Macaca fascicularis: one gene and its partners. The protein of the gene in region 1 interacts with the protein of each later gene in a biochemical or structural test. Links are inferred from orthologs where the notes say so. Each region holds a gene or a part of one and is shown in the gene's direction. Other genes may lie near its edges. The genes, in order: TERT, CIB1, TPP1, HSP90AA1 and PTGES3.

Region 1 (5,743 bases):
ACATGAGATGGACCATCACAGAGGCCACTGGGGCTGCACCTCCCGTCTGAGTCCTGGCTGTCCCAGGTCCCGGCCAGGTTCCTGCGCGCTCACCTACCTGTCCTGCCCAGGAGACAGGGCAAGCACCGTGAAGTCTGGAGCAGGGCTGAGTCCAGGCCCTTCAGAGCTGCTGCCAGGCCCAGCACCCCTCTCCAGATCACCACTTCTCCGGGGTTTTCCAAAGCATTTAACAAGGGCGTCAGGGCACCTCCTGGGTGACGGCCCCGCATCGGGGGGCTGACGTCGCGCCTCTGCCTTAGGACCCTGGTCCGAGGTGTCCCTGAGTACGGCTGCGTGGTGAACTTGCGGAAGACAGTGGTGAACTTCCCTGTGGAAGACGAGGCCCTGGGTGGCGCAGCTTTTGTCCAGCTGCCGGCGCACGGCCTGTTCCCCTGGTGCGGACTGCTGCTGGACACCCGGACCCTGGAGGTGCAGAGCGACTACTCCAGGTGAGCACACCTGGCCGGAAGCGGAGCCTGTGCCCGGCAGGGACAGATGGTGCTGCAGGGACGTCCCGTCCACCCCTGCTTCCGTGTGGGGCAGGCGACTGCCAATCCCAAAGGGTCGGAGGCCACAGGGTGCCCCTCGTCCCATCCAGGGCTGAGCAGAAATGCGTCTTTCTGTGGGAGTGAGGGTGTCACAAGGGGAGAGGTTTTCTGTGCTATTTTTGTAAAAGGAAATTGTGCACCAGACCTGGGAACACTGAGGTGTCCTCAGAGAGCAATCTGGATCTGAACCCGAGACGCCCGGGCCCTGCTGGGTGTGAGTCTCTCCAAACCCGAGACACTGGGGCCCTGCTGGGCTTGAGTCTCTGCGAACCTGAGACACTGGGGCCCTGCTGGACGTGAGTCTCTCCACTGTGAGGCCCACACTCCGAGGCTCATCCACAGTCTACATGATGCCATGAGTTCATGATCACGTGTGACGCATCAGGGGACAGGGCTGTGGTGTGTGGGGGTCTCTACAAAAATCTGGGGTCTCATTTCTCCTGAGCCTGAGAGCTCATGGCCCCACCTCAGGCTCAGACACAGATGGATTGAAGATGGACACAGATGCAGAAATCTGTGCTGTTTCTCACCATTCCAGGCTAGGCGCGGTGGCTCACACCTGTAATCCCAGCATTTTGGGAGGCCGAGATGGGTGGATCACTTGAGGCCAGGAGTTTGAGACCAACCTAGCCAACATAGTGAAACTCCGTTTCTACTTAAAAAGTACAAAAATTAGCCTGGCATGGTGGCGCACGCCTGTAGTCTCAGCTATGCGGGAGGCTGAGGCAGGAGAATCACTGAGGCTCAGGAGAGGTTGAGAATCATTGAGAATCAGGAGAGGTTGCAGTGAGCTGAGATCACACCACTGTACTCCAGCCTGGGCAACAGAGCGAGACTTCACCTTAAAAAAAGGCAAAAAGTATCAGCATTCCAAAACCATGGTGGACAGGTGCTTTTTATTCTGTCCTTCAATAATATCCACTGGTGCTGTGCTAGAGGCCGGAACTGGGGGTGCCTTCCTCTAAAAGGCACGGCTTCATGGGAAGAGAAATAAGGGATTTTTAAATCCCTTACTGGATGATTGTTAAACCAGTGGTTTAAACTGGGGTCCTGTCATTCTGAGTTAACAGTCCGGATCTGGACTTTGCCTCTTTCCAGAATGCTCCCTGGGGTTTGCTTAACAGGGAAGCAGCAGGTGCGGACACCCTCATGTTGGGGGAGTGGCAGGTGTAGATGCCCTCGTGCATGGTGCCCAGCACATCCCTGCTGCAGCTCCCTCCCCACCAGGACACCGGTCCCCTGTGCTCCCCACAGTCCCTGTTTCCCCCTCCCAGCCTCACCTGATCCTGGCCTCTGCTGGCTTTGTCTGGGTGATTTGCAGATTTCCTGGGCTCCCGGCACCTCCTTGCCTCTCCCTAGGCGCCTCTGCAGCACTGGCCATACCATCAGCCGTGAACTGTCCACTGTTTATTTTGCTCCCCATGAAATGTATTTTTTAGGACAGGCACCCCTGGTTCCGGCCTATGGCACAGCATCAGTGAATGTTACTGAAGGACAAAGCAGACAGACAAACGAATCAGGAAAATGGGTTCTCTCTGAACACATTGCAAAGCCACAAAGGCTAGTGCAGGATGGGTGGGCATCAGGTCGTCAGATGTGGGTTCAATGCCAGAATATTCTGTGCTCCCAAAGGCCACTTGGTCAGAGTGCCTGCTTGCAGAGGTGGTTGTAAAAGCTCAGCAGTAGAGGCAGTGGTTCGCCGCACTCGGGGTGAACACACGTCCTCTGTGTCTGAAGCATACAAAGGCTTGAAGGGCATCTGGGAGAAGAAAACAGGCAAGATGATTAAGAAAAGTGAAAAAGGAAGAGTGTTAAGATGGGAATTTTCTTGTCCAGATTTTAGTCTCCCAAACCACAGCTTAGATGGCAGAATGTGGTGAGAAGTGATGGACAGTACAATAGAACAAAACGGAAGCCCTACCTCTCAGAAACGTGTGTTAAATGTGGCATGTGGCACAGCTGACGGAAAAGAGAGTGTGTGTTTAATTTTGTTTTCTGAGAAAACTGACTGGAAGCAAATAAGTTGTGTCTTTACAACATGTACCAGAGCAGATTCTAGGTAGAAGAGGAATGACGTGCAAACAACAGCAGCAACAGAAACAAAACGGAAGACTCAAAGGGAAGGGAGGTGAACGTTCCCTGATTTGGTGTTGGGGAAGGACACGGAGGGAGGTAGATGAAACCAGTGAGGCAACAGCTATTGCTTTCACGCAGAGGAACTCAGCTTGCCTGAGCCGCAGTGAAAATGGCTGTTCCCTGGAGCATTTGTGCACATGATTTATTTAAGGCACTCTGTGAGGTCCTGCACATTCATCCTCTCACTTTGTTCTCCTAACCACCTGAGAGGTAGATGAAGAAGGCCTCCAGGGTAGCACCCAGCTGGCAAGGGGCGTGTGTGATTGCAGCCTGGCCTGCTGCTCTGGGGCCCTTGCTCCGCCTGAGGACCCCACACAGGTCAGACCCACAGGCTCGGGGCTAGCCGGAGCCCAAGGTTGTGTTGGTGACAACTGTGAAGGAAGAAATGGACATCTGATGCACACTTGGGAAGGTTCTACCAGCAGCATCAAAGAAATGCGTGTGAAACTGACAGCGAGACCCGTCCTTTGTGCTGGCTCCTTTTCTGGGCTTCCCAAGAGCCAGCATCAGGGTGAGGCAAGTTGGAAAGACTTTTCTGGAAAGCAGCTTGTTTGCATGGAAGTCCTTACAATGTCCTGTGTTTTCCCAGTAATTCCACTTCTGAAGTGACCAGACATTATCACGGGTCTTATTTCCCATTTCCAGTGCTCCAGGTATGGGGGAGGGGGGGATTGCCACAGCAAGTCGCCAACCCGCCCAAATCCAGGGCTAAGCAGATACTATGTATCACAAAACTTAACTCTGCTGTTAGACATGTTTTCAAAGAATTTTTGAAGAATGTTTAATGGCACAAAACGTTTATTTCAATGTAGCAGTGTTCAAAGCTGGATGTAAAAGAACGCAGCCCAGGGAGCCCGCTGTGGATGTCACGTGTGTTCGTCTTTGGACACGGATGTACACGGGCAGTGAGTGGTGGCAGGGCCCTAGAGGACGTCGGTGGGATGCCTCCATCCTGCCCCTCTGGAGATACCCTGTGTGTGCCACGTGCACTCACTGGAGCCCTCTTTAGCTGGCGCCACCTGGCTCTTCCATCCATGAGATTCAAACACAGTGAGATTCCCCATGCCCGACTCAGTGTTCTCCCACAGAGAAGCTGAGTCACACCCGTGTCCGCTCGAGGGACGCCTGGGAGTCAGGGCTCCATAGTTTATTATGTATTTTTGGCCGAGTTATGTGCAGATCTCATCAGGGCAGATGATGAGTGCACACACACGGCCGTGCAAGGCTTGGATACACTCAACATCACTAGCCACGTCCTGGTGGAGTCTGGCCATGCAGGGTCCGGATGGCGTGTAGCGTTTTGAGTCCACGGAGAGAGCACCCGACTCCCTCAGGCTACAGCGCGTGCCCCAGGCAGGACAAGGAAGCAGGAGGAAGGCAGGAGGCTCTTTGGAGCAAGCTTTGCAGGAGGGGGCTGGGTGTGGGGCAGGCACCCGTGTCTGACGTCCCCCCTGTGTCTCAGCTACGCCCGGACCTCCATCAGAGCCAGTCTCACCTTCAACCGTGGCTTCAAGGCCGGGAGGAACATGCGTCGCAAACTCTTTGGGGTCTTGCGGCTGAAGTGTCACAGCCTGTTTCTGGATTTGCAGGTGAGCAGGCTGACGGTCAGCACAGAGTTCAGAGTTCGAGAGGCATGTGTGTTACTGTGTGCACGCATGTGTACGTGTGTGTGTGCGTGCCTGCAAGGCTGACGGTGACTGGCTGCACATAAGAGTGCACATGTGCGCAGATGCACGCGAGCCATACGTGTGTGTGTACATGAAGGCATGGCAGTGTGTGCACAGGTGTGCAAGGGCACAAGTATGAATGTGCACATGCAAATGCATACCTGATGTGCATGTGTGTTCATGTGCATTCGTGTGGGATTCATGTGAGGTGCATGCGTGTGGGTGTGCGGTGTGAGTAGCATGTGTGCACATAACCTGTATCAAGGGCCCCTCATGTTCACCCTGCTAGGTCCTCAGCACCAGCGCCCCTCCTTACAGGGTGAGATGGGGTGGATCCCCACAGGAGAGGGGGAGTGGATGCCCACAGGAGAGGGGGAGTGGACACGGACGCCCACAGGAGAGGGGAGTGGACATGGACGCCCACAGGAGAGGGGAGTGGACACGGACGCCCACAGGAGAGGGGGAGTGGACACGGACGCCCACAGGAGAGGGGAGTGGACACGGACGCCCACAGGAGAGGGGAGTGGACACGGACGCCCACAGGAGAGGGGGAGTGGACGTGGACGCCCACAGGAGAGGGGGAGTGGACACGGATGCCCACAGGAGAGGGGGAGTGGACGCCCACAGGAGAGGGGAGTGGATGCAAATGCCCACAGGAGAGGGGAGTGGACGCCCACAGGAGAGGGGGAGTGGATGCCCACAGGAGAGGGGAGTGAACACCCACAGGAGAGGGAGTGGATGCAGATGTCCAGACGGGACAATGCTCTCAGGACTGCAACTTCAGAGCCACAGCCCACTGGGGCCTGGGACCCTGTCTCACCCTATAAGGAGGGGTGCTGGTGCTGAGGACCTATCAGGGTGAACATGAGGGGCCCTCGATACAGGTTATGTGCACACATGCTACTCACACTGCACACCTACATGCATGCACCTCACGTGAATGCCGCATGACTGCACACGAACACATGCATGTCAGGTATACATTTGCATGTGCACATTCATACTTGTGCCCTTGCACACCTGTGTACACACTGCCATGCCTTCACTCCCCCTCTCCTGTGAGGGTCCACATCCACTTCCCCTCTCCTGTGGGCGTCCACTCCCCTCTCCTGTGGGCATCTGTGTCCACTCCCCTCTCCTATGGGCATCTGTGTCCACTCCCCTCTCCTGTGGGCATCTGCGTTCACTCCCTCTCCTGGTGCCTTCCCTTTTTGGCCAAGCCTCGGAGGCAGGCAGACGACAGGGAGTCCTGACTCCCCCAGGGTGGTTGACAGCTGCCGGGTGAGGGTCAGGCCGGATTTCACTGGCGAGAGGGATGGTTTCTTGTCAAAATGTTCCTCTTTCTTGTGCCAT
Region 2 (6,237 bases), on another chromosome or scaffold:
ATGATTCAGACTGTGCATTTAATAATTTACCATGAGAGGCCGGGCGCAGTGGCTCATGCCTGTAATCCCAGCACTTTGGGAGGCTGAGGGAGGCGGATCACGAGATCAGGAGATCGAGACCATCCTGGCCAACATGGTGAAACCCCATCTCTATTTAAAAAAATACAAAAATTAGCTGGGTGGTGCACTTCTGTAATCCCAGCTACTGGGGAGGCTGAGGCAGGAGAATTGCTTGAACCCGGGAGGCGGAGGTTGCAGTGAGCCGAGATCATACTACTGCACTCCAGCCTGGTGAGAGTGAGACTCTATCTGAAAAATAATAATAATTTACAATAAGAAATGTGCCAAATGGCACAAAAGGTTCTTGCTGGCTGGTCAGTGTACAAAATGAATCAGGAAGCAAAATGAAAACCAGAAGGTTGTTCCATGAAGGATTCAGAGTCAAGTGAAGTGGCTGAGAGATCTAGATCATAGCTAGTCACCAGGCACAAAGCTGACTCTCATGTCTTCACTATAAAGAGATACTTATGGCCGGGCACAGTGGCTCACGCCTGTAATCCTAGCACTCTGGGAGGCCAAGACAGGCGGATCACCTGAGGTTGGGAGTTTGAGACCAGCCTGACCAACATGGAGAAACCCCATCTCTACTAAAAATACAAAAGTAGCCAGGTGTGGTGGCGCATGCCTGTAATCCCAGCTATTCAGGAGGCTGAGGCAGGAGAATTTCTTGAACCTGGGAGGCAGAGGTTGCGGTGAGCCAAGATCATGCCATTGAACTCCAGCCTGGGCAACAAGAGTGAAACTCTGTCTCAAAAAAAAAAAAAAAGAGAGAGAGAGAGATACTTACTACCATGCAGTCCAGGTATTCGCCTTGGCTTGTAAGAGGCAAACAAGGTCTATTTAGTACAGGAGACATAATGACAGCTTCCTGCTTTTTGCCTAAGCTTTTACTAACAGAAGACTAACTCCTTCTTGGACAGAAAGAGTCTGCTATTAAGAGAAAAATGATCAGCTTGGGATGAGTCTATACCCTAGGTTTTTTTTTTTTTTTTTTTTGAGAGAGTCTCACTCTGTTGCCCAGGCTGGACTGCAGTGGCACAATCTCTACTCACTGCAGCCTCCAGCTCCCAGGTTCAACCACGCCTGGTTAATTTTTGTATTTTTAGTAGAGACGGGGTATTGCCATGTTGGCCATGCTGGTCTTGAACTCCTGGCCTCAAGTGATCCGCCTGCTTCAGCCTCCCAAAGTGCTGAGATTACAGGCATGAGCCACCACGCCTGGCCTTGAATATTTCTACAGTGATGGAATGTACATATTAATACAGTGGGTCTTATTAAACACATGCTGCCAAGGAGAAGCAATGGGTATTCTTCAAGTGTAAAGTAGATTCCTAGGCAGTCTAGGGAGTCAGGAAAGGCTTCCCTGAGGATAAGATGGAAGAGGGACTGAGGGCCCAACGTGACTGAAACACAGAGAGCCAATAGGAGCAAGTCCAGTTACAGAGGGCCAGGATTTGGGTTTTTAACCATTTAATGATTATAAACTGAGATTAACATGCTCAGATTTAGACTTTACAAAGATCAGCAAGTATAATGGATTGGAAGGATCAAGAATTAATCCCAGCCTGACCAACAACCTCCACTTCCTCCTCCCAGCAGTTTGGAATCCTTACCTTTTGCAGTAGTATACGTTCATTCATTTATTATGCATTCGATAATATTTACTGAAAGCCTACTATGTGCCAAACATTGTTCTAGAGGTTAAGAGGGGACAAGAGCAAACGGGTCAGCAGCCTAGGGGTGAGATGGGGTCAAAAGGACAGCAGGTCAGCTGGAATGAAGACAAGAGCAGTGGAGCGCCTTTAAAGGTGCCTTGGACTGGACCGATCACCTTCTAAATGCCTGAGCCCGGAAAAATCACTAAAACCCTTTGGACTTACGTATTTCCATCTTTGTAAAATGGGAGCCTACCTTGCAAGGGATGTTGCAACAATCGAAGAAAACTATGCACAGTGCTTCACATCCAGTGGGTCCTCAGTAAATAGCCTAAGAATGAAGCAAGGTTATGGTTACTTCTGGAAGAGGTGGCTTGGGGGCTGCGACAGGTGCAGCGATTGCCTGATGATAACATCTAGAAAAGCCCTTGCTGGGCAGAGGGGCAGGCGACGACCTCGGCCACTCAGCGAGTCTCCAGGTTTCCCGGAAACGCTAGCTCCAGTGACTTCTCAGACGCTCCTACGGGACCGCACCCAGGGCAGCCGCCGCCACCACCTACTGCAGCCGAAGCGGATGGACCTCGCGACTTACCCTGCAGCCGCTGCCGGGGCCACAGCGAGGTCACGACTCCCGTGACGCATACGCAGCCAGCACGCACGCGCGCGGCGTGGCCCGCCCCCGCCCACCCCGGAGGCGGGGCCGTGAGTCCTGGGCTCCGCCCCGGAGCGTCGGGCCCCTCCCAGGGCCCCGCCTCCCGCTCGCCAGGGACCGGTCGGAGCCGGCGGCTCGCCTGCCAAACCCGGCTGGGAACGCCTGGGCGCTTTTAGGACGGGGCGGGCCCGGGGGTGGTGGCCCCAGGAGCGGTTGCCGCGGGGACCGGGCAGTGACGCGGCCCAAGGGCGGAAGTGAGAAAGTTGTCTGCGTCTCTAGGCGAGTTGGCGGAGCTGTGCGCGAGGCGGGGAGATGGGGGGCTCGGGCAGTCGCCTGTCCAAGGAGCTGCTGGCCGAGTACCAGGTGCGCGGGACGCCTGGCCCTAGGGAGCTCGTGTGCGGGCCTGTTCCCCGGAGCCGGGTCCGGAGCGGGCTGCGGGGCGGCCGCGGCCTCCCAGCGGTCCCCTAATGCCAGCTCTCGCTTTGCCTTCCAGGACTTGACGTTCCTGACGAAGCAGGAGATCCTCTTGTAAGTGCTGCCTTGAACCCCGCCTGCGACCCCGGGATCCTCTAGAGACAGCTTCGGGGGCGCCGTCCCAAGGGAGGGGCGGGGGCTGGCCTGAGGTCTGCAGAGGACCGGGAGCTGGAGGCCAGGAGACCCAGCCCGGGCTGCGCCCTTCTCCCGGCACGCCCTCCCCGCCCTCGCCTGAGGCCCCAGCGTGGCACCGCGGAGCCACCTCACAGCCTCCAGGAAAAGTTAGGCTCTCTGACCCTGAGCTCCACTAGCTTCAGCACTGCCGAACTTCCTGCCCCAGTCCGGCAGGGGCCGACCTTGCCCGGTGGCTAAACCACAGAAGCCTTGGGGAGCCTGGCTCTTTCTCCCAACTTTACCTGAATAATACAGTAACCGTTATCGCTTTCTGAGCACTCACCATGTGCCAGGGACTGTGCTACATTGTTGCCTGCATTACCTAATTTAATCTTTAGGAGAGAGGTATTGGACAATGAAACAGGTTCAGAAAGGTTTGGTAACTGCTTAAGACAACACTCTTGAGTAAATGGATTTGAACTTGGGCTGGAAGCCCTTTTGCCAGATTTTATGCAGGCCAGGGCACTTTGAGTGAGGAGGTGCCTGGGCTTCCTGCGGCAAAGATAATCTCATGGGAAGGAGGCGGAGGCCGAGGAGGAGGACAGTTCAGGGTGGCTGCTAAAAAGGAGGCTTTGAGGGCAAGAGATCCCTGGAGTGATGGTGAGAATGAGATTTTTGGTTGTGCTCTTTTCTCCCTGTTTTTGTTTTTTTTTTCTCTCTCTCTTTTTTGAGACAGAGTCTCGCTCTGTCACCCAGGCTGGAGTGCTGGGGCACGATCTCGGCTCACTGCAGCCTCTGCCTCTTTGTTCAAGTGATTCTCCTGCCTCAGCCTCCTGAGTAGCTGGGATTACAGGCAACTGCCACCATGCCCAGCTAATTTTTGTATTTTTAGTAGAGAAGGGGTTTCACCATGTTGCTCAGACTGGTCTCAGACTCCTGACCTCAAATGCTCCGCCCGCCTTGGATTCCCAAAGTGCTGGGGTTACAGGTGTGAGCCACCATGCCTGGCCAGTTCTTTAGGGCCAACTTCTGGCCTTTTCCCCAACTCTTCATCCCTCAGGGATCTCTAGAATCAGTGCCCAGCACATAGTAGATGCTCAGTAAATACTTATTGCAAGAAAAGACTCCTAGGCTGTACTGCCTTGTGACATGTCCTTTTGCTTACTGTTGCCTGATGACTCGGAAGTTCTGTGCATGTGGTTTTAGCTCCTCACCTGGTTGATAATGAGCAGCAGGCAAGGAGTGGGAATGAACACACAGGGAAACCGATCGCTGAGAACACCGACAGTTCCCCTCTCTCTACCAGAGCCCACAGGCGGTTTTGTGAGCTGCTTCCCCAGGAGCAGCGGAGCGTGGAGCAGTCACTTCTGGCACAAGTGCCCTTCGAGCAGATTCTCAGCCTTCCAGAGCTCAAGGTGCAAGCGCTTCCCCTCGTTGACACCTCTCCCACCACTCCCTCCCTGCTAGACCCCCTAGCTCCATCTGCCACTAGCTTTGAGATCATGGGGTCACTGGGCCCCATTCTGGTCATTTTTCTGCTTAGTTCTAATTTTCTGGGGACAAGGACTTGACCAAAATCACCTGGCAGAATTATCTAGAATGGTGCTTTTCAAATGGGGATTCTAGAACATAATCTTGGAAGTTCAGAGAAGTTTTATCCCTTAAGAGGAGTTGAGTTACCTTATTAAAGTTTGAGGAACCCTGTTCTAGAGGCTGATTGCCACTCCGTGGGGCTGCTGCAAAATATCTGTGCAAAGGGCCTGGCCCAGTGCCCGTAACACAATAGTTGTTCAATTAAATATTTGTGTTTTAAAATAACCAGCCCATCTCGTTCCCTTTGTTTAGGATGACTTCTTCCCTCTCTGCCCACACTTATGTTGTATGTGACCTGCCTTTGGGTTAAACACTTGACTCCCAGGAAGCCATATCAGTCCTTTCCCTAACTGGGTCAGTTTGCTTTCCTGTGCCCCCACTGCCCTTCATGTTGGCCCCAAAGCACTGATCGTTCACCCCCACGAGCCTGAGCTCCCTGGTGCCGGTCCTGTGACCTGCTCTCTCAAGTTTCTGGTAGGGTTTAATGAGTGTATGACCTGGGCCACATCCTGTGGCGTTTGTTCTCCTAGGCCAACCCCTTCAAGGAGCGAATCTGCAGGGTCTTCTCCACCTCCCCAACCAGAGATAGCCTTAGCTTTGAGGACTTCCTGGACCTCCTCAGTGTGTTCAGTGACACAGCCACGCCGGACATCAAGTCCCATTATGCCTTCCGCATCTTCGGTGAGAACCAGGAGCAGCCCGGCAGGACACCACCCCTTCCCACATGGGCTTTGTGGTGGCCCTGCTTGGGAAATGGCGTGCTTGTGGAACCTCAGAGCCCCTCCCAACCGTGTCTTTTGGCTTCCTGTGTCTGTTCTCTAGACTTTGATGATGATGGAACCTTGAACAGAGAAGACCTGAGCCGGCTGGTGAACTGCCTCACGGGAGAGGGCGAGGACACACGGCTTAGTGCATCTGAGATGAAGCAGCTCATCGACAATGTGAGCAGCTGAACAGGCCCTGCCCCAGCTGGGCCTGGGAGTGGGAGGGAGGGGTTGGGGCTCTGGCCTGAAACTCTCCCTTTCCCAGATCCTGGAGGAGTCTGACATTGACAGGGATGGAACCATCAACCTCTCTGAGTTCCAGCACGTCATCTCCCGTTCTCCAGACTTTGCCAGGTATGACAGTGGTGCCCCTGCATTCTGGGTACCTGCAGGTCCCGATTTGCTGCCTCTGGGCCTAGGACATTGCTACAGGAGGTGGTGCCAGGGTGAGAGAAAGCCCCAGTCCATACACACAGGGCCGGCTAAGCTGCCAGTCTCTCCCCGGGCAGGGGCAGCCCTCCTTGTCAAGGCCTCTCCCCTTGCCACTGCCATTGTCATTGCTCTGTGTTTGTACTAATTAGTAATAACGGTTTAGAAGCTCTGACCCTGTGTGTGGGTCCAGAAAGCTCCCTCTGGATGTCTCAGGGAGTTCTTCCAGTGTGGGCTGACACACGGGACACAGTTCGTTCCAAAGAAGGGTCTAAAGGGAGAAGGGGGGTCAAGTTTGGGTTTAGTCCCTACCCTCCTCTTCCAGCAGAAAACCCACCCCTTTTCTCTTGTTCAGCTCCTTTAAGATTGTCCTGTGACAGCAGCCCCAGCGTGTGTCCTGGCACCCTGTCCAAGAACCTTTCTACTGCTGAGCTGTGGCCAAGATCAAGCCTGTGTTGCCAGCGCAGACCACGCTGGCCCAGCCTGGAGCTGGCAC
Region 3 (6,479 bases), on another chromosome or scaffold:
ATAGGGATGACTGGAAGACACCTGGCAGAGTATTGTGGATACCTCAGGAGGCACAGAGGGGTGGTGGGGTGGGGATGGCACTGGGAGCTCAGGAGCCTAGCCTGAGGCTGATGATCACATCTCTCTGCAGCTAATCTTTTCCTTCTAATATGGGCAAGAGGCCAGCAGGGCCTTGAGAGGGATCAGTTGGGTGTGAAAGGGGATCTTGGGGATGACCAGCTCTAGGCCCGAAATTCTTTTTTAAAAATAAGTCGGGGTGGGTACAAGAGCAGTCAAGGGGTTTATTTGTTTTTCTTGGGGCCACTAAATATCCACATTGTAATAATAGCTCAATTTGTTGAGCCTTTGTCATGTCAGGCTTTCTGCAGGTGGCTGTCTTGCTTCATCTCAGTGTAAATTTTCACAGTCATACAAAGGGATTTGGGAACCACTGGTGTAGACCATTCTTTGGGGGAGCCAGGCTGTGAGGGAAAGGCGATTGGCCAATATTTGAGAAGTTCATGGGACTGAGGAAATTAGAAAAAAAAAATAAAGTGGTCAAAGAGAAATGTTTCTGAGCATGATGCTAGTAAATACAGCTCTAGGATCCAAGCTTAGTGGGAAACTGGAGGGATCAATGGACAGGAGGAAGTCAGATTAATAGGAGTAAGGAAAAACAATAGCTTGAAAAAACAGAAGGTTATAGTCTAAGAAAGGATTCTATAATTATAATTTCAAAGGTAGAGCAGTTTTGAGAGATAGCAAGCCCAAGTGTAGCCATGGGACTGGTTTGCTTCAGTGAAGTGAAGGTAATGCTCCTTGGGTTTAATGAGATGAAGAAATGGAAGGTTAGGGTGTTGAATGGGTCTTTTACCTAGATAATTTGATCATCTAGGTCAAATGATCGCAGGAATTGGGATGGAGAGAAAAGTGAAGTGCCGTAATCTTCAGCGTGGGAATATGATCTATAGGTTATGGATGTCAGTGGCCTGTAGGAAAACAGCAAGAGTAGAGGGATCTATCTAAAAAGTATTGAGGTCAGAACAAGGGATTTTACATGAGTATAGGATTAATGGTTTTAGAAGTTAAAATGACACTGCTGACACCATCTTCCATATGGATTTTTTGGGGAAAAAAATACTTAAGAAGACTGGAAGGGAACTGAATCCTCAGGGTTTTAACTCTCATTGAAAATCTTCTTGTAATGACCCCAATTCGAAGCAGTAAACTCAGACCTTGTGGGCTTTGAGTTACCATTAGAAAGAAGCAAAGGTCTGTTTCCATTTTAGTCACCTGAGCCCACTAAACAAGATGCAAGATTCCTCCGTGGCTCTTGGAACAAAGTTGATTTCCTTGAAAACCTTGGGACCCGTAATAAACAGGACCCCAGCTGATTTTAGATCTCCTGGGAAGCGACTTAAAACTGGAAACGGATTTGAATAAAAGGATCCTGATCTTGCAAAAGCTCTACTCTGTTCATAAATGTAGTCCTAAAATGAACACAAAATTGATAATATGGAGACATAAAGGAGGAAAAAATTTTTTCACTGCAATATTTTCAAGGCAGATCACTTTTATGTAAGTCTCCATATTGTAAATGCAGAAACCTAGGCTCTGAGAGGTTATTTTGCTGATATCATATAGCTAGGAAGAACCCCGGTCTGTGGGTCTCTAGAGCCTACTCACTTGTGGTGATTCCCAGGGGACCAAGCTCAGGCTGCAGGTGGGGAGCACTGGGCTTACTCAGCGCTTGACTGGCCAGAGGGGAGAATCCGAGTGGCGGCACCACCCTTGCCTAGCATTCAGGACCACCCACGCAAGGGAGGAGCCAGCACCGTCACTAGTTACTAGGCAGAGGGTTGGTGGTGGACTATAGGGTTCATGTGATCTGTCACATGACAGCAGATCTGCGGAAGGGCAGAATGGGACTCCAAGCCTGGTGAGAAATTGAGAGGGCTGGGGAGAAAGGGATCACGTTGGGGGGAGCATACATTGGGAGGGTGGGAACACAAGGACAATGTAGCTCCCACTGAAACCCACCTGCTGCCCTTACAGCCTCCTAGGGCTCTTTGCCCTCATCCTCTCTGGCAAATGCAGTTACAGCCCGGAGCCCGACCAGCGGAGAACGTGAGTTGACTTAGCACAGACCACCCCCTTCCCCATACCCTGTTCTGCCTCTCACTGTCCTGGTCCTAGCTTCTCTCACCCCCATGCCAGCTCCTAGTACACACTCCATAGTTTCATCTCTAGGTTCCTAGGCTCAGTCCCCTGTCATTCACCTCATGTGATCTGTATCTGCTCCTAGGATCCTACCCAAGGTCTCAGCTCCTAATCTGGAACCTTCCATGACCAATATTTTTCATCTCTACCCTAACCAAAGCCATGTCCCTGACCCCTGACCCTACAGGCTGCCCCCAGGCTGGGTGTCCTTGGGCCGTGCGGACCCTGAGGAAGAGCTGAGTCTCACCTTTGCCTTGAGACAGCAGAACCTGGAAAGACTCTCGGAGCTGGTGCAGGCTGTGTCAGATCCCAACTCTCCTCAATACGGTGCCTTTTGGGACTGAGGACAGGATGTGGGATGCAGTGGAGGGACACAGGGCTGGGTTGGGCATGGGATGGTGATCATGTCAGGGCCTGACAAGACACTTGTGTTCCTCAGGCTAGAAACCTAAAAGGGGATGTGGTTCAGCATATAGGCTTTATGATCAAACATGAACTCAAATTCTGACTCTGCTACTTACTAGCTACCAGGCAAACGGGAAAATAGCATCTAGTACAACTTAAGTTCCTTCCCCTACCCTTGAATCCATTCTAATTTCTTCTGTTCACATACTAAGGCTGCCAGTTCTAACTCCCAAAGAGCCTTTGGATTAGTTTACTTCTTGCTGTCCTTTGTTACTACCAACTCATTTATTCCCACTCCTGGACTACTGCCCAGCTCCCCAGCTGATCTGCAGTCTCCCTCCACCCCACCCCTCACTGTACTCCCCCACTCTGCTTCAAAAGTCTCTCCAACAGTCAGAATGGATTGGTTCCTTCTCCTGGTTAAAGCCCTTCACAGCAGGGGGAGTGTGCACATGTGAACTGCAGAGGCTGGGGACAGGGCAGTGTGACACTAGTATGCATGGCAGGAAACAGTGACTCACCATCGTGTTAAGCTTAAAATCAACAAGTATGCAAATTTGAGCTAAACTGGATAACTAGTGCCAAGAGATTTGAAAACATTTACTGGACATAAGCTTAAGATTAAAATGGAAAATTTATATGTATTAATCTCATTGATTTTCATGATCATGGCAATACATGCTGTGGTGTGACATTTGCAACTTACTGGCCTTTAGGGTAAATCCATATTCTTGGCCATGGCATTTCAAGTCTCTCCAGCCTTTTCTTCTTCTGCTCCCCAAGTACAACCTACACCTGCACGCACAACCCTCCTTTACCCTGATCCAGGCTTTGGGAAGTCCTGATGTCTCATAGTCGAGGTCCAAAACGGGGAGTTTGGGAAAGCAACGAATGAGGGCAAGTGCCGCTTCTGAATCCCTGCAGGAAAATACTTGACCCTAGAGAATGTGGCTGATCTGGTGAGGCCATCCCCACTGACCCTCCACACGGTGCAAAAATGGCTCTTGGCAGCCGGAGCCCAGAAGTGCCATTCTGTGATCACACAGGACTTTCTGACTTGCTGGCTGAGCATCCGGTGAGAGGAAATGATTTCTCCATGGAGGGCACCAGTCATCCCCTCAGTGAGATGGATGGGAGGGAGCTGAGAGCTTGCTGGGGCTTGTGGGTGGGAGCTGATGCATGGGGAGACAGTGACTGACTGCCCAGGGATGCTCAGAGGCAGCTTCTTCTGTTCTGTTTTGAGCTTTCTGACCTCTGTTTTCTGACCTCCAGGCAAGCAGAGCTGCTACTCCCTGGGGCTGAGTTTCATCACTATGTGGGAGGACCTACAGAGACCCATGTTGTAAGGTCCCCACGTCCCTACCAGCTTCCACAGGCCTTGGCCCCCCATGTGGACTTTGGTAACACCTATGGGGTGAATGAGGGTTGGGGCAGACAGATCCAGGGGCTGGGGAAGTTTAGATGCCTTTGGAGACTGAGGGTAGGGTGAGTAGTAAGGTGGGCATTACAGTCTATAAGATCTCCTCAAGCCTGACTTCTCCCTACAGTGGGGGGACTGCACCGTTTTCCCCCAACATCATCCCTGAGGCAACGTCCTGAGCCGCAGGTGACAGGGACTGTAGGCCTGCATTTGGGGGTGACCCCCTCTGTGATCCGTAAGCGATATAACTTGACCTCACAAGACGTGGGCTCTGGCACCAGCAATAACAGCCAAGCCTGTGCCCAGGTGAGCCAAGCAAAGAGCCCCAGGGTCCTCAGTGCCTTGCCACACTGGGACTCACCCTCAGACCCACGACCTCTGCTCTGACTCCCTCCATAGTTCCTGGAGCAGTATTTCCATGACTCAGACCTGGCTCAGTTCATGCGCCTCTTCGGTGGCAACTTTGCACATCAGGCATCAGTAACCCGTGTGGTTGGACAACAGGGCCGGGGCCGGGCCGGGATTGAGGCCAGTCTAGATGTGCAGTACCTGATGAGTGCTGGCGCCAACATCTCCACCTGGGTCTACAGTAGCCCTGGTACTGCCAAGAGGACTGGACGGTGGGGAAGAGGGTGGGAGATGGGTATTGATCCCTGCCCCCTCAAGGGAATGCTGTAAGCTGGAGAGAGATCCTGACAACCCCCAATGACTATCTTTGTGCCCATCCCTCAAACAAAAATAATAATCCAGGCCGGCATGAGGGACAGGAGCCCTTCCTGCAGTGGCTCATGCTGCTCAGTAACGAGTCAGCCCTGCCACATGTGCATACTGTGAGCTATGGAGATGAGGAGGACTCCCTCAGCAGTGCCTACATCCAGCGGGTCAACACGGAGCTCATGAAGGCTGCTGCTCGGGGTCTCACCCTGCTCTTCGCCTCAGGTGACCTCCTACCCTAAACTTAGACAACGCTTCCACCCCTGCAACCTGGGAGCTTTGACCCCACAGTGACCCCTGAGCCTGGTCTCTGACTCATAATCTGAACTTAGACCTTCCAACAGGGACCACTGACCTAACCTCTACACTCTGACCTCCTGCAGTAACAGCTGACACATAAATTTCCTCTCTGACATCTGAACCCACATACTAAGCCCTGACCAATTAATATGAGTGCTACACTTGGTCTCTCTTAGGTGACAGTGGGGCCGGGTGTTGGTCTGTCTCTGGAAGACACCAGTTCCGCCCTACCTTCCCTGCCTCCAGGTAAGTACTCTAGCCTACCACTCAAGTATAACCACCACCTTTCACTTGTGATCTCATGATGTAGAACCTTTGTCTTGACCCCACCATGTGCTCCTGTGGTTCAGCCTTAAGCTTTGCCTGCCCTGGTTGCTGCACTCCTGTCTCTTCTTCCTGTAGGTCCCAGGCCCCAAATCTCTTGTGTGGGATACAGCTCCCATTGTTCCTTTTCTTCAGTCCCCAGGCATTTTAGTGGAAGATTTGGTGGATGTTCTGTAGAGAAACGTGTGCACAGTCACCTCGGACCATGCCTTGAAGGCTCAAAATCTCTTAGTCAATCCTATGTAGATGCTTCCCCATAGAGTCTAGTTCCTCCAGCAAGATCTGGGCTATACTCACCCCTCCCCACATATCTTGGAGGTCCCCTTGGGTCCCCTACTATCTGAATGCTGTCTTCTCCCCTCAGCCCCTATGTCACCACAGTGGGAGGCACATCCTTCCAGGAACCTTTCCTCATCACAAATGAAATTGTTGACTATATCAGTGGTGGTGGCTTCAGCAATGTGTTCCCACGGCCTTCATACCAGGTACATGTGTTTATGTGCATAGATGCAGGGTAAGAGTGAGGATGGGGGATCCTCAGTTCAGCTGACTGCTGGGCAGGCCACATGCCAATACTCACTCAAAAATGCCTTTCAGGAGGAAGCTGTAGCCAAGTTCCTGAGCTCTAGCCCCCACCTTCCACCATCCAGTTACTTCAATGCCAGTGGCCGTGCCTATCCAGATGTGGCTGCACTTTCTGATGGCTACTGGGTGGTCAGCAACAGAGTGCCCATTCCATGGGTGTCCGGAACCTCGGTGAGAATCAGCCCATCTCCAAACTCTCACTCAGGAACTACCCTTACCCCCTAACACCTTGAGTACCTTGCATCCAGAACCCCTGACTCCTTAGAGATGTCTGATACTTTAAACCATCACCGTCAAAAAGTCCAGTCACTCTGAACCCCTGACCTTTACTTGCACCTTCACTCTTGCAGGCCTCTACTCCAGTGTTTGGGGGGCTCCTATCCTTGATCAATGAGCACAGAATCCTCAGTGGCCGCCCCCCTCTTGGCTTTCTCAACCCAAGGCTCTACCAGCAGCATGGGGCAGGACTCTTTGATGTGAGTGTGGAAGGGAAGGGTGTGGACATTTTCATACAACTATGGGGAGTACTAAG
Region 4 (6,280 bases), on another chromosome or scaffold:
TCTCGGCTCACTGCAAGCTCCGCCTCCCGGGTTCACGCCATTCTCCTGCCTCAGCCTCCCGAGTAGCTGGGACTACAGGCGCCCACAACCGCGCCCGGCTAATTTTTTGTATTTTTAGTAGAGACGGGGTTTCACCGTGGTCTCGATCTCCTGACCTTGTGATCCGCCCGCCTCGGCCTCCCAAAGTGCTGGGATTACAGGCGTGAGCCACCGCGCCCGCCGTATTTTTTTTTTTAGTAGAGACGGGGTTTCACCGTGTTAGCCAGGATGGTCTCGATCTCCTGACCTCGTGATCCACCCGTCTCGGCCTCCCAAAGTGCTGGGATTACAGGCTTGAGCCACCGCGCCCGGCCAATGTCCTGTTTATTAACCGAGGCGGGAGAGCTGGAAAGACAGGAAGTTGTGGAAGGAAGGAGGGACATTAAAGGTGGGGCCTGACGGGAAACGGTGGTTCCCAGTGATGCCCAGACCCAGGCAGGGGCTTTGGGGCAGGTTCACTGGAGAAACGGGGAAAAATGAAGGTCCCAAAAACAAAAGACAGACTGTCAGAGCTAGGGCCCGGGATGGCTCTTGTATAAGAAATCTCAAACCCCATTGGCAATGGCAGAAACTGCGGTAGGAAAAGTTCCTACAAGTGAGGAGAGTGGGGACAGTGGCTGGTGGTGACAGGAAGGAAACAGGCGGAGGAGGCACTCGCCAGGGAAGACCTTGCGCCCCTTCAGCAACCTGCTCACCGCCCCGCCTGCTTCCGGATTCCTCCCCGCCGGTCTCGGCTGCAGTGTAGGGAAGGCCTGGGCGGGGGGCGCCCCCCAAGGCTGCGGAACAGCTATCACGGGAGCCGGCACACACCCAGTAACCACCGCTGGGGCCCGCGCCACGTGGCTGCTAGTTTCCATCCACCCCGCTTTGTAATGCTGGGCAAGACGCTTTATGTTGATTTCACACACTCTTAAAGGGTCCCAGGCCGCAGTCTGAAAACCCCTGCTCCTGAATAAGTTGGTTTCCCTAGAGACCAGGAAGCGGAAGTAGTTCCGTCGTTTGTTTACACGGTAAGGAGCTTCCAGATTATTCCCAGGACCTGGCTATGAGTTTAGGCAGGAGGAGGCCCAATCGTGGGAGGCGCCAGAGAGGAAGAGGACATGGACCAGGCATGGGAGCCAAGTCTAAGGATCCCCAACACCTCCAAGGTTCTCATAGCTGGCCTTGACCAAAATATCTGAAAATTCTCATGTAGAAACTGGTTCTTCCAGCCTGAGCAACATGGTGAAACCCCAACTATACAAATAAATACAAAAACTAGCCGGGTGTGGTGTCCGCGCTTGTGGTCCTCCGCCCGCGCTCGTCCCAGTTACTCGGAAAGCTGAGGTGGGAGGATCACCTGAGCCCGGGAGGTCGAAGCTGCGGTGAGCCAAGATTGTGCCACAGCACCCCAGCCTGGGCGACAGAGGGACAGCCTGTCCAAAAACAAAAAAACACCAAACCTGTCTTTTAGGGAAGGTTAATCACCAAAATGTCAAGTGTTAGATACTTAATTTGGAGACCTCAAATCGATCGGCAAAACGATGGGCTTTTAAAAAGCATGCCGGGTGTAGCTGGGTAAGCATGAATTTATTCACCAAGGGCCCGATTCCCAAGCTAAGGGATCCTGAAGTGTGAAGGACATGGCTTCCGGGGAACCCAAAGGTAGGGAGCGCTCCTGAGCCAGCAGTGGGTCTGGAGACTCCCCGAGCGCGCAGGCCGCGGGACGGCGTCCCCTGCGCGCAGCAGCTAGAAGCCAACAGCCCAAAGGCCCCCAGGGAGCAGAGCCCCGCGATCCCGGCGCCGCCTGCGGCTGGGTTTTTTGGCAGCGGGCGCGCCGTCCGTGAGGATGACGGCTCCGGTAGTTTCCCAGGCGTGCGAGACCCGGGGCGCTCCCCGTCCACGCACGGCCCTCCCTCCAGGCGCGCCTCCCGCCCCAGCCCCGCATTCTGCGCAGCCCGGGTGACCAAACTACACCTCACTTCAAAGGCCCCCACGCCCGGGCGTGCCCTCCGCCCGCGCTCGGCAGGTGGGAGTGCAGGGAAGAGAGCGCGGGCGGCCCCAGAAGGCGCCCGGACCTTCCCGAGAATTCCAGGCCGCGCAGGCGCATTGAGGTCGGCGCGGGGGCGTGCGAGAGGCGCGGGGCGGTGATTGAGGGAAGGTTTCCCGGGCTGGGCCACGAGCAGGGCCTGCGCGCGCCAGCGGGAGGGGCGGGCCACGGCGAGGGCGAGGGCGCAGGCGCAGGCGCGCGGCCGCGGCGGCGGTTGGGGAGGGTTCTTCCGGAAGGTTCGGGAGGCTTCTGGAAAAAGCGCCGCGCGCTGGGCGGGCCCGTCGCTATATAAGGCAGGCGCGGGGGCGGCGCGTCAGTTGCTTCAGCGTCTTGGTGCTGCTGTGCGGTGGAACGTTTGCAGCCTTTTAGCCAAGGTGTGAGGGGCGGTTGTGAGGGCCTGTGGAGGTGGATTGGGGAGTGGGGGCGGTTGGCGCGGAGCGGAGGCTGTGGGGGCCGAACGGGAGCCCTGAACCCGCCAGGGCCGCTCTCCCGGGAGGCCGCGCTGCCTATTCCGGAGGCCGTGGGCCCGCTGCTGTCTCCGCAGCCCGCCTCAGGAATGGGCTGGGCGGCTGCTCCCCGAGGCTCCGCGGCAGCCCCGGAGCTGGCGCCGCACGCGAGCAGAGCGGCCCTTTGGCTGGGGGCCCCCCGGGCGGCCCAGCTGGGGCGCAGGCGGAGGAGGCCGCCCTGGCGGAGCCGCGGCCCGCGCGGGAGAGCACACGGGGTGTCGGTTGGGGACCGCGGCGCGGGACTGGGCCGGGCCTGCAGTGGCCTCCCGGAAGCGCGCACACGCTCGTGGTAGTTACCGCGCTCCGAAATGAGGTCATCCTTTGTCAGCCGCCCTTCTATTTTCGGTTTACTTAAACTTCGCAAATCTGCAATCCGGCTTTAAAAATATTGGGAGGACGCGATGGAATCTCGTGTTGCCCCTGTAGACGCTCTGCAGGGTTTTAAACCGGCGCGGTGTCGTTCCAGATGCCTGAGGAAACGCAGACCCAGGACCAACCGATGGAGGAGGAGGAGGTTGAGACGTTCGCCTTTCAGGCAGAAATTGCCCAGTTGATGTCATTGATTATCAATACTTTTTATTCGAACAAAGAGATCTTTCTAAGAGAGCTAATTTCAAATTCATCAGATGTAAGTCGTTTATTAACCCAGAATAGGATTTTGGTTTCAATATGAACTTCTTGGGGGCTGTATGCTTAATTAATATTTTGTGTTAATAGGCATTGGACAAAATCCGCTATGAGAGCTTGACGGATCCCAGTAAATTAGACTCTGGGAAAGAGCTGCATATTAACCTGATACCAAATAAACAAGATCGAACCCTCACTATTGTGGATACTGGAATTGGGATGACCAAGGCTGACTTGATCAATAACCTTGGTACTATCGCCAAGTCTGGGACCAAAGCGTTCATGGAAGCTTTGCAGGCTGGTGCAGATATCTCCATGATTGGCCAGTTCGGTGTTGGTTTTTATTCTGCTTATTTGGTTGCTGAGAAAGTAACTGTGATCACCAAACATAACGATGATGAGCAGTACGCCTGGGAGTCCTCAGCAGGGGGATCATTTACAGTGAGGACAGACACAGGTAGGTACCTGAACACTCACTGGTTAAGTCAGTGGCGGAATGGTGGGGTGTTGCAACCCTTGGACCCCTGGGGATGCGGCGAAGTTCACAGAAAGTGTGTTTACCCAAGGATCAGGAACAAGCTAGAGCTCTGAATTAGTGTGTAATGGCATGACTTGGTGATTACTTCTTTTGGGCAAGGCACTTAGATCTGCTGTGGGAGCCTTTGCATCTGTAGTAAGGGCAAACCTCGCTTCATAGACACGTTATAAGGGTTAAGCATGGCGTTGAGCACTAAATTGAATGTATTATTGAGTCAATTTTCCTTATTTCTCTTGCAGGTGAACCTATGGGTCGTGGAACAAAGGTTATCCTACACCTGAAAGAAGACCAAACTGAGTACTTGGAGGAACGAAGAATAAAGGAGATTGTGAAGAAACATTCTCAGTTTATTGGATATCCCATTACTCTTTTTGTAAGTTTCTACATAATTGCAGAGTGAATTACTGTCTGTAGGTGACTGGGGTGACTGTACTACATCCTTAGTTCCTAGGTCTGTTGAACTAGTCTGAAGCCTGGGGAACCTAAGCTCTACTAACTGTGAAGGTTCCTCGGGTTATTAAGTAGATATATCAAATATTGATGAGAAGCTGCCTGGCTGCTTCTCATCCTCGGTAATTTAGGCTTTGGCCTTAGGTTGAAAGTAGTGGGGCAGCGCTATGACTTAGTTCTAGAGTGCAGCAGTGATGCGATTTCATGTCTTTTGAAGGTGGAGAAGGAACGTGATAAAGAAGTCAGCGATGATGAGGCTGAAGAAAAAGAAGACAAAGAAGAAGAAAAAGAAAAAGAAGAGAAAGAGTCTGAAGACAAACCTGAAATTGAAGATGTTGGTTCTGATGAGGAAGAAGAAGAAAAGAAGGATGGTGACAAGAAGAAGAAAAAGAAGATTAAGGAGAAGTACATCGATCAAGAAGAACTCAACAAAACAAAACCCATCTGGACCAGAAATCCCGACGATATTACTAATGAGGAGTACGGAGAATTCTACAAGAGCTTGACCAATGACTGGGAAGATCACTTGGCAGTGAAGGTGAGTGAGGGACTGATGGATGCTTCAAGCTTGTCTTTAGATTATCATCCCACCACCCCAAATATCTGCTATAATGCATTGTTCATTGATACTTAGTGTGTTTGTTCTATTACAGCATTTTTCAGTTGAAGGGCAGTTGGAATTCAGAGCCCTTCTATTTGTCCCACGACGTGCTCCTTTTGACCTGTTTGAAAACAGAAAGAAAAAGAACAACATCAAATTGTATGTACGCAGAGTTTTCATCATGGATAACTGTGAGGAGCTAATCCCTGAATATCTGAGTAAGTATAGATAGGAAAAATAATCACTGTCACTGATTAAAGAAATACTTCTGGCTGGGCATGGTGGCTCACACCTGTAATCCTAGCAGTTTGGGAACCCGGGGTGTGCGGATCACTTGAGGTCAGGAGTTCAAGACAAGCCTGGCCAACATGGTGAAACTCCATCTCTCCTGAAATTAGAAAAATTTGCCCGATGTGGTGGCAGGCTGAGGCATGAAAATAGCTTGAAAACCCCCCTGGGAGGCAGAGGTTGCTGTGAGCGGAGATTGCACCACTGCCTTCCAGCCTGGGCAACAGAGTGAGACACTGTCTCAAAAATAATCTCCTATCATCTCCAGGTTCTTGTCTTTGCTTTTGGGGGTTTACATAGTACCAGTTTTGTCCTTGGAATGACTCAGTGCATTTGATTTTTATATTTTTTTCAGACTTCATTAGAGGGGTGGTAGACTCAGAGGACCTCCCTCTAAATATATCCCGTGAGATGTTGCAGCAAAGCAAAATTTTGAAAGTTATCAGGAAGAATTTGGTCAAAAAATGCTTAGAACTCTTTACTGAACTGGCGGAAGATAAAGAGAACTACAAGAAGTTCTATGAGCAGTTCTCTAAAAACATAAAGGTTGGTGTAAATATTTGACCATTGGTAGTTTCCCTGCTGGCCTCTTTTTAGATTTCTTTTTGAATTCAGAGAGTCTTTAGTAAAGAACATACTTTGTTTTAGCTTGGAATACATGAAGACTCACAAAATCGGAAGAAGCTTTCAGAGCTGTTAAGGTACTACACATCTGCCTCTGGCGATGAGATGGTTTCTCTCAAGGATTACTGCACCAGAATGAAGGAAAACCAGAAACATATCTATTATATCACAGGTAGGGGGACGCTATGTTACAGTCTATACGTCGTTCTTATAACCTTGTAGGCTCTGTGGGTGTGTTTTCTACTCAGGTAGCACTGTTATAACTGGCGTTGATCTAGGCAAGATAATTAACATGAACTAGGTCATTATTTGTCTTAGGTTCTGCCTAGGTATCTGGCTAGCAAAAGTTAGAAGTAGATGAAGCCATTCTTACTGTTAAAAGGTCTAAAAGTAACTTTGTAATACCTCAGGTGAGACCAAGGACCAGGTAGCTAACTCAGCCTTTGTGGAACGTCTTCGGAAACATGGCTTAGAAGTGATCTATATGATCGAGCCCATTGATGAGTACTGTGTCCAACAGCTAAAAGAATTTGAGGGGAAGACATTAGTGTCAGTCACCAAAGAGGGCTTGGAACTTC
Region 5 (5,786 bases), on another chromosome or scaffold:
TTTTTTTGAGGCGGAGTTGCACTCTTGTTGCCCGGGATGGAGTGCAATGGCACTATCTCAGTTCACTCCAGCCTCCACCTCGTAGGTTCAAGGAATTCTCCTGCCTCAGCGTCCCAAGTAGCTGGGATTACAGGCTCCGATCACCACGCCCGGCTAATTTTTGTATTTTTAGTGGAGACAGGGTTTCACCATGTTGGCCAGGCTAGCCTCGAACTTCTGACCTCAAGTAATCTACCCACCTTGGCCTCCCGAAGTGCTGGGATTACAGGCATGAGCCACCGAACCTGACCATGCCCAGCTATCTTTTAACAGACTTTTACGTGCATGATACAGTATTGTTAACTATAGGCATAATGCTGTACAGTAGGTCTCTGGAACTATGCATTTTGTGTAACTGGAACTTCATACCTATTTAACAGTAGCAAGTCTGCATTTTCCCTTCCCTCCAACTCCTGGCAGCTACCATTCTCTCTATTTTTGTGTGTCTGTCTTAGGTATCTCATATAATCTTAGGTATCTTATATAAGTGGAATCATGCAGTATTTGTCCCTGACTGGCTTATTTCACATAACATGACATGCTTCAGATTCTTCATTGTGTTTTGTCACATAAGGCAGATTTTTTTCTTTTAAGGCTGAATAATCCCTACTTTTAGGATGAACACATTCCATTGTATGTTTGACTAATCTTTTTAAGGTTCCTTCCAGGCTGGGTGTGGTGGCTCACACCTGTAATCCCAGCAGTTTGGGAGGCCAGAGGCGGGCGGATCACCAGGTCAGGAGATGAAGACCATCCTGGCTAACACAGTGAAACTCTTATCTACTACTAAATATACAAAAAAATTAGTTGGGCGTGGTGGCAGGTACCTGTAATCCCAGCTACTGGGAAGGCTGAGGCAGGAGAATGGCGTGAACCCGGGAGGCAGAGCTTGCAGTGAGCCGAGATCACGCCACTGCACTCCAGCTTGGGTGACTGAGTGATACTCTATCTCAAGAAAAGAAAAAAGGTCCCTTCCAATTCTAAAATCTGAGTGATCATGTATTTTTGAAATCTGATTTTTTTCCATGCATATGTGATTTTATTTTTCTAAAATATAAACATTACAGAAATGGTTTAAACTTGAGAAAATAAGTTTCTCATCATCTGATAATAGTTTAGGTTTAAATCATTTATTGGTTCTTCACAATATCTAAAACCTTTTCTTTAGGGAAAATTTAGTTTTAATTTCCGTATAGGTTTTTAGAATTTTGTGTAATTGCTTATAATCTTCCTTTTCCAGAAGGGAAGATGCTTACATTTATTTTGCATTTTTCATTTGTGGATATCCGTGGCAGACCTAAGGTTTATTCTGAAGCATACAGCATTAATAATTAGGGCCTAACTTAACATCATTTTTAAAACTAATTTTTACACTTCAAATAGATGATGAACAACATGGGTGGTGATGAGGATGTAGATTTACCAGAAGTAGATGGAGCAGATGATGTAAGTCTAAAAGTTTTTTTCTGTTTACTTTCATACTATTAAATAGTAAACAACATATTTACAAATGGTTTTATATAGATTCAGGATTACTACTTTTCTAAAAAAAAAAAAATAAAGGGAAAAGCAATTTTTAAAATGTGCCCATTTTTGAGGAATGGGTATCTATTAGGGAACTGGTTTTGCCGTAGACCATTCCTAAATGGATCGCATTTCCAAAGAATAATTGTATAGAGACATTATGTAGTAATACCTTACTCAATTATAACAGTCGGTTCAGGCCGGTCGAGGTGGCTCACGTCTGTAATCCCAGCAGGCCGAGGTGGGTGGATTACCCGAGGTCAGGAGTTCGAGACCAGCCTGGTCAACATGGTGAAACCCTGTCTCTACAAAAATTAGCCAGGCATGATGGCAGGTGCCTGTAATCCCAGCTACTGGGGAGGCTGAGGTAGGAGAATCGCTTGAACGAGGGAGGCGGAGGTTGCAGTGAGCCAAGATCACACCATTGCACTCTAGCCTGGTCAGCAAAGCAAGGCTCCATCTCAAGGAAAAAAAAAAAAAAAAAAGTCAGTTTATAGGGATTATTTTGACTAAGAAAGTAAATTAAATAGGTTTTATGTCAGGATTGGTCAGAGACTGATGAAACAGATGGATATTGGGAGGTGGAGACGGGTGGATCAGAGTTTGAGGCCAGCCTGGCCAAGATAGTGAAACCCTGTCTCTACTAAAAATACAAAAATTAGCTGGGCACGGTGGCGGGTGCCTGTAATCCCAGCTACTTGGGAGGCTGAGGCAGGAGAATCGCTTGAACCCGGGAGGCGGAGGTTGCAGTGAGCCAAGATCTCGCCACTGCACTCTAGCCTGGGCGACAGAGCAGGACTCCATCTCCAAAAACCAAAACAAAACAGATGGACATTGTAAATCTGTAAGAGGAGGATGAGGATATAATAAACAACTATTCTCAACATCTTGTCAACCCCAGCATCCTGTTAACATCTCCCAGAAAGTTATTTAATGCTATTTAGAAAAATATATAATATTCACTCAACAGCTAGGATTAGAGTTCACTGTCTTCTGTCAATCTATTTTTCTTCATATTGATCCATGTTTTCTCTTGAATGCTGACATAGGTTAATTTAGGAATGGATTCAAAGGGTGGGCTAAACTGTCACCAAAAGGTGCACACTATTTTTTACAGGTAGATAGATCCTCTGCTGTACATCCATTCACCTTAGGTTAAACCTAGTCTTAAGTCCAATGACTAAATTTCTAGGCTTGGTATAACTACCTACCTGTGCTACTTTAGTCAAAAATAATAGCGCTTGAACTATTCAGGTAAACTCAAGTATTTGATCAGTTTGGTAACTTTATTTTCCCTCTTTCAGGATTCACAAGACAGTGATGATGAAAGTAAGTGTATGTAAAAAGTATGTTTACACAGTGATATTTTGCATCAAAAACCAAACTCAAAATAGAGATGTTAACTTCTTTTGAAAAAAAGTAATTTTTTCTTTATGACCTTGAATAAATAACTAAAACAGAAATGTGAATAACTTAAGATAGCAAGACAACCTATTAATTTACTGGGGAACTGTATAATTCAATTTTTGGTTGCTTTTCCTTTAAGATATTAAAATTGGTAGATTATTCCCATGTACTTTATACTAATATTTTTTACAATTCTTTCAGAAATGCCAGATCTGGAGTAAGGAGTATTGTCATCACTTGGATTTTGAGAAAGAAAAATAACTTCTCTGCAAGATTTCATAATTGAGAGAATTCCTGAGTTGATAGCTCTAAAGGCAGATGCTGTATTTGCCTACTTTAACCCATTTTTCAACCTGTTTGTTTTTTAAAAGGCTTCACTAAGGGTTGATATGTACCATTGTATGGGGCAATTTTAAGTCAGCTAAGGCAATAACCTTATGCATGAACATTTCCCAGACTTTCATGAAGCTGTTGAGGTCCTAAGCAATTGATGCAGCTGTTGTGATAAATAGAAACATCTCACCTAAGTCTCCTTTTCTTCATAACATAGATACTGACATGATAGGAAGCTCTCAGCTTAGGGAAAGATAACTAAATTTTAGATTATAGAACATGGATTCAAAAGTGGCTGGAACAAATTGGCTGACACCTTACTGGTAACCTGCTGTTCTCCTGGTGTTCCTTCAGGATTGTTCCACTAAAATTTATTTTTCAAAAAATTTACTTCATATGATTCTATGTAAGTGATCACTTGTCAGTGTTCCAGGTGTATCTTAGCTAAAACTAGAGAATGCCCTAACTTAGATGGTTTTTGAAGCCTATACATTTGGTATTGTTTGACCCTTAAGCTTTTACATCTCTTAGCATGGAGGACGAAGAAAGCTGTACATTGTTGCTTGAGAGTCTGTACATTTAGACCAGATTTGTATTTGCACTGTCAAGTATGGCAAATGAGTGAAAAATGTTTAATACACTATTGGATTTTTTATTTCTTTTTTTGATTCAGCTTATACCAGGGCTGAAAACCTCAATTTATGTTCATGACAGTGGGGATTTTTTTAAATGTCTACATTCTTTCTAATAAACTGTTGGAAGACTTCTTGGCTGTCCTTTTAAGTGTCTGGCTTACTGTAATTTTTATGTATTTACCATTTACTGGAATGGAGTTATTTTTATTTGAGGAAGAATTTGGGATTATTCCTCTGTTTGAAAAAAAGAGGCTTGCTGTAATGTCACAGGAAACCTTTTAAAAGTGGATCTGTAATAGAATATTGTAGATGCACTTTGCAGCAGTTGGAAAAGAAAGTGTTGTGATTTGATTGAAATAAAACTAAATGTGTTGTCCTCCTCTAAATCTTTGAACTTCTGCATTTTGGAAGTTTTCATTCCCTCACAGCTTCTGTAGTTGTCATAACATAGAAACACTATGTCCCAGCTACTCGGGAGGCTGAGGCAGGAGAATGGCGGGAACCCAGGAGGCGGAGCTTGCAGTGAGCTGAGATCCGGCCACAGCACTCCAGCCTGGGCGACAGAGCGAGACTCAGCTCAAAAAAAAAAAAAAAAAAAAAGACTATGTATTTCAGCACTTTTTTACGTCGGATATTCAGGACCTGTGTTGCAGGCAGTTAAAGTGCTGGTGATACAAAGAATATTTCAGATGATTGCTGAGCTCAGAGAGCTCACAGGCTAGGCTGGGGGAACAAACGAGACAAAAACTTGATAGGAAGTGTGATAATAGATATGCATAGTGCATTACGATATGTAGTTCTTCAGTGGGGAAAACATTTTAAAAACTTGTTTGATTTTCTTGAAAAAATTCATACGTCACTTTTGGAAATGAATGATTCGTTGGCTTACCGCCCAGCCTTGAAACTATGCCATTATACAGGCCAGGCACGGTAGCTCCCACCTGCCTGTAATAGCACTCTGGGAGACAGGCAGGTGGATTGCTTCAGACCAGCCTGGGCAAGGTGAAACCCCAATTTTTTTTTTTTTTTTTTTTTTTTTTTTTTGGAAGACGGAGTCTCCCCTGTCACCCAGGCTGGAGTGCAAGGGTGCAATCTCCGTCTCCCAGGTTCAATCAATTATCCTGCCTCAGCCGCCTGACTAGCTGGGATTACAGGCGCACACGACGATGCCCAGCTAATTTTTTTTTTTATGTTTGGTAGAGCTGGGTTTTCACCATGTTGGCTAGGCTGGTCTCAAACTCCCGCCTGCCTTGGCCTCCCAAAGTGCTGGGATTATAGGCATAAGCCACCACGCCCAACCTGCGAATCCCTATTTTCACAAAAAAATTAGCTGGGTGTGATGGCGCATTCCTGTAATCCCACCTACTGTGGAAGCTGAGGTGGGAGGATCAATGGAACCCGGGCCATTGGGGATGCAATGAGCCAAGATTGCACCACGAACTTTTTTGTAGACAGAAGTTTCTCCAAAAAAAAAAAAGGCTGGGCATGGTGGCTCACGCCTGTAATCCCAGCACTTTGGGAGGCTGAGGCAGGAGGATCACCTAAGGTCAGGAGTTCAAAACCAGCCTGGCCAACATCATGAAACCCCTTCTCTATCAATAATACAAAAAAATTAGCCGGGTGTGGTGTCATGCGCCTGTAATCCCAGCTACTTAGGAGGCTGAGGCAGGAGAATCGCTTGAACCCAGGAGGCAGAGGTTGCAGTCAGCCCAGATTGTGCCATTGCACTCCAGCTTCCCCAGGCTGGAGTGCAGTGGTGCAGTCACATCTCAAGCACCACACCTGGTGGACTTACATATTTTGTAGAGACGGGTCTCCATGTTTCCCAAGCTGGTATTGAACTCCTAA

What was found.
Region 2: the proteins of TERT (region 1) and CIB1 form a complex in vitro, tested with the Homo sapiens proteins (2 studies listed by BioGRID). The link is inferred for Macaca fascicularis from reciprocal best matches to the Homo sapiens genes TERT and CIB1.
Region 3: the proteins of TERT (region 1) and TPP1 form a complex in vitro, tested with the Homo sapiens proteins (2 studies listed by BioGRID and IntAct). The link is inferred for Macaca fascicularis from reciprocal best matches to the Homo sapiens genes TERT and TPP1.
Region 4: the proteins of TERT (region 1) and HSP90AA1 form a complex in vitro, tested with the Homo sapiens proteins (2 studies listed by BioGRID). The link is inferred for Macaca fascicularis from reciprocal best matches to the Homo sapiens genes TERT and HSP90AA1.
Region 5: the proteins of TERT (region 1) and PTGES3 form a complex in vitro, tested with the Homo sapiens proteins (2 studies listed by BioGRID). The link is inferred for Macaca fascicularis from reciprocal best matches to the Homo sapiens genes TERT and PTGES3.

What each region holds. Positions count from the first base shown.
Region 1 is NC_088380.1:1,608,535-1,614,277, reverse strand, and holds part of TERT (telomerase reverse transcriptase), read left to right. Parts: intron 1-299; coding exon 300-488; intron 489-4,185; coding exon 4,186-4,312; intron 4,313-5,743. UniProt on the Homo sapiens protein: Telomerase is a ribonucleoprotein enzyme essential for the replication of chromosome termini in most eukaryotes. Active in progenitor and cancer cells. Inactive, or very low activity, in normal somatic cells.
Region 2 is NC_088381.1:74,709,469-74,715,705, reverse strand, and holds the start of CIB1 (calcium and integrin-binding protein 1), read left to right. Parts: upstream 1-2,623; 5' UTR 2,624-2,679; coding exon 2,680-2,730; intron 2,731-2,860; coding exon 2,861-2,895; intron 2,896-4,261; coding exon 4,262-4,370; intron 4,371-5,078; coding exon 5,079-5,229; intron 5,230-5,370; coding exon 5,371-5,489; intron 5,490-5,577; coding exon 5,578-5,666; intron 5,667-6,096; coding exon 6,097-6,118; 3' UTR 6,119-6,237. UniProt on the Homo sapiens protein: Calcium-binding protein that plays a role in the regulation of numerous cellular processes, such as cell differentiation, cell division, cell proliferation, cell migration, thrombosis, angiogenesis, cardiac hypertrophy and apoptosis.
Region 3 is NC_088388.1:59,459,119-59,465,597, forward strand, and holds the start of TPP1 (tripeptidyl-peptidase 1), read left to right. Parts: upstream 1-1,879; 5' UTR 1,880-1,901; coding exon 1,902-1,918; intron 1,919-2,034; coding exon 2,035-2,106; intron 2,107-2,386; coding exon 2,387-2,526; intron 2,527-3,528; coding exon 3,529-3,679; intron 3,680-3,876; coding exon 3,877-4,004; intron 4,005-4,151; coding exon 4,152-4,330; intron 4,331-4,423; coding exon 4,424-4,622; intron 4,623-4,774; coding exon 4,775-4,963; intron 4,964-5,214; coding exon 5,215-5,284; intron 5,285-5,726; coding exon 5,727-5,847; intron 5,848-5,959; coding exon 5,960-6,118; intron 6,119-6,297; coding exon 6,298-6,423; intron 6,424-6,479. UniProt on the Homo sapiens protein: Lysosomal serine protease with tripeptidyl-peptidase I activity. May act as a non-specific lysosomal peptidase which generates tripeptides from the breakdown products produced by lysosomal proteinases. Requires substrates with an unsubstituted N-terminus.
Region 4 is NC_088381.1:170,186,597-170,192,876, reverse strand, and holds the start of HSP90AA1 (heat shock protein HSP 90-alpha), read left to right. Parts: upstream 1-2,383; 5' UTR 2,384-2,442; intron 2,443-3,040; coding exon 3,041-3,202; intron 3,203-3,291; coding exon 3,292-3,658; intron 3,659-3,978; coding exon 3,979-4,112; intron 4,113-4,406; coding exon 4,407-4,727; intron 4,728-4,842; coding exon 4,843-5,008; intron 5,009-5,433; coding exon 5,434-5,624; intron 5,625-5,726; coding exon 5,727-5,874; intron 5,875-6,112; coding exon 6,113-6,280. UniProt on the Homo sapiens protein: Molecular chaperone that promotes the maturation, structural maintenance and proper regulation of specific target proteins involved for instance in cell cycle control and signal transduction.
Region 5 is NC_088385.1:63,469,220-63,475,005, reverse strand, and holds the end of PTGES3 (prostaglandin E synthase 3), read left to right. Parts: intron 1-1,422; coding exon 1,423-1,485; intron 1,486-2,867; coding exon 2,868-2,892; intron 2,893-3,171; coding exon 3,172-3,191; 3' UTR 3,192-4,324; downstream 4,325-5,786. UniProt on the Homo sapiens protein: Cytosolic prostaglandin synthase that catalyzes the oxidoreduction of prostaglandin endoperoxide H2 (PGH2) to prostaglandin E2 (PGE2).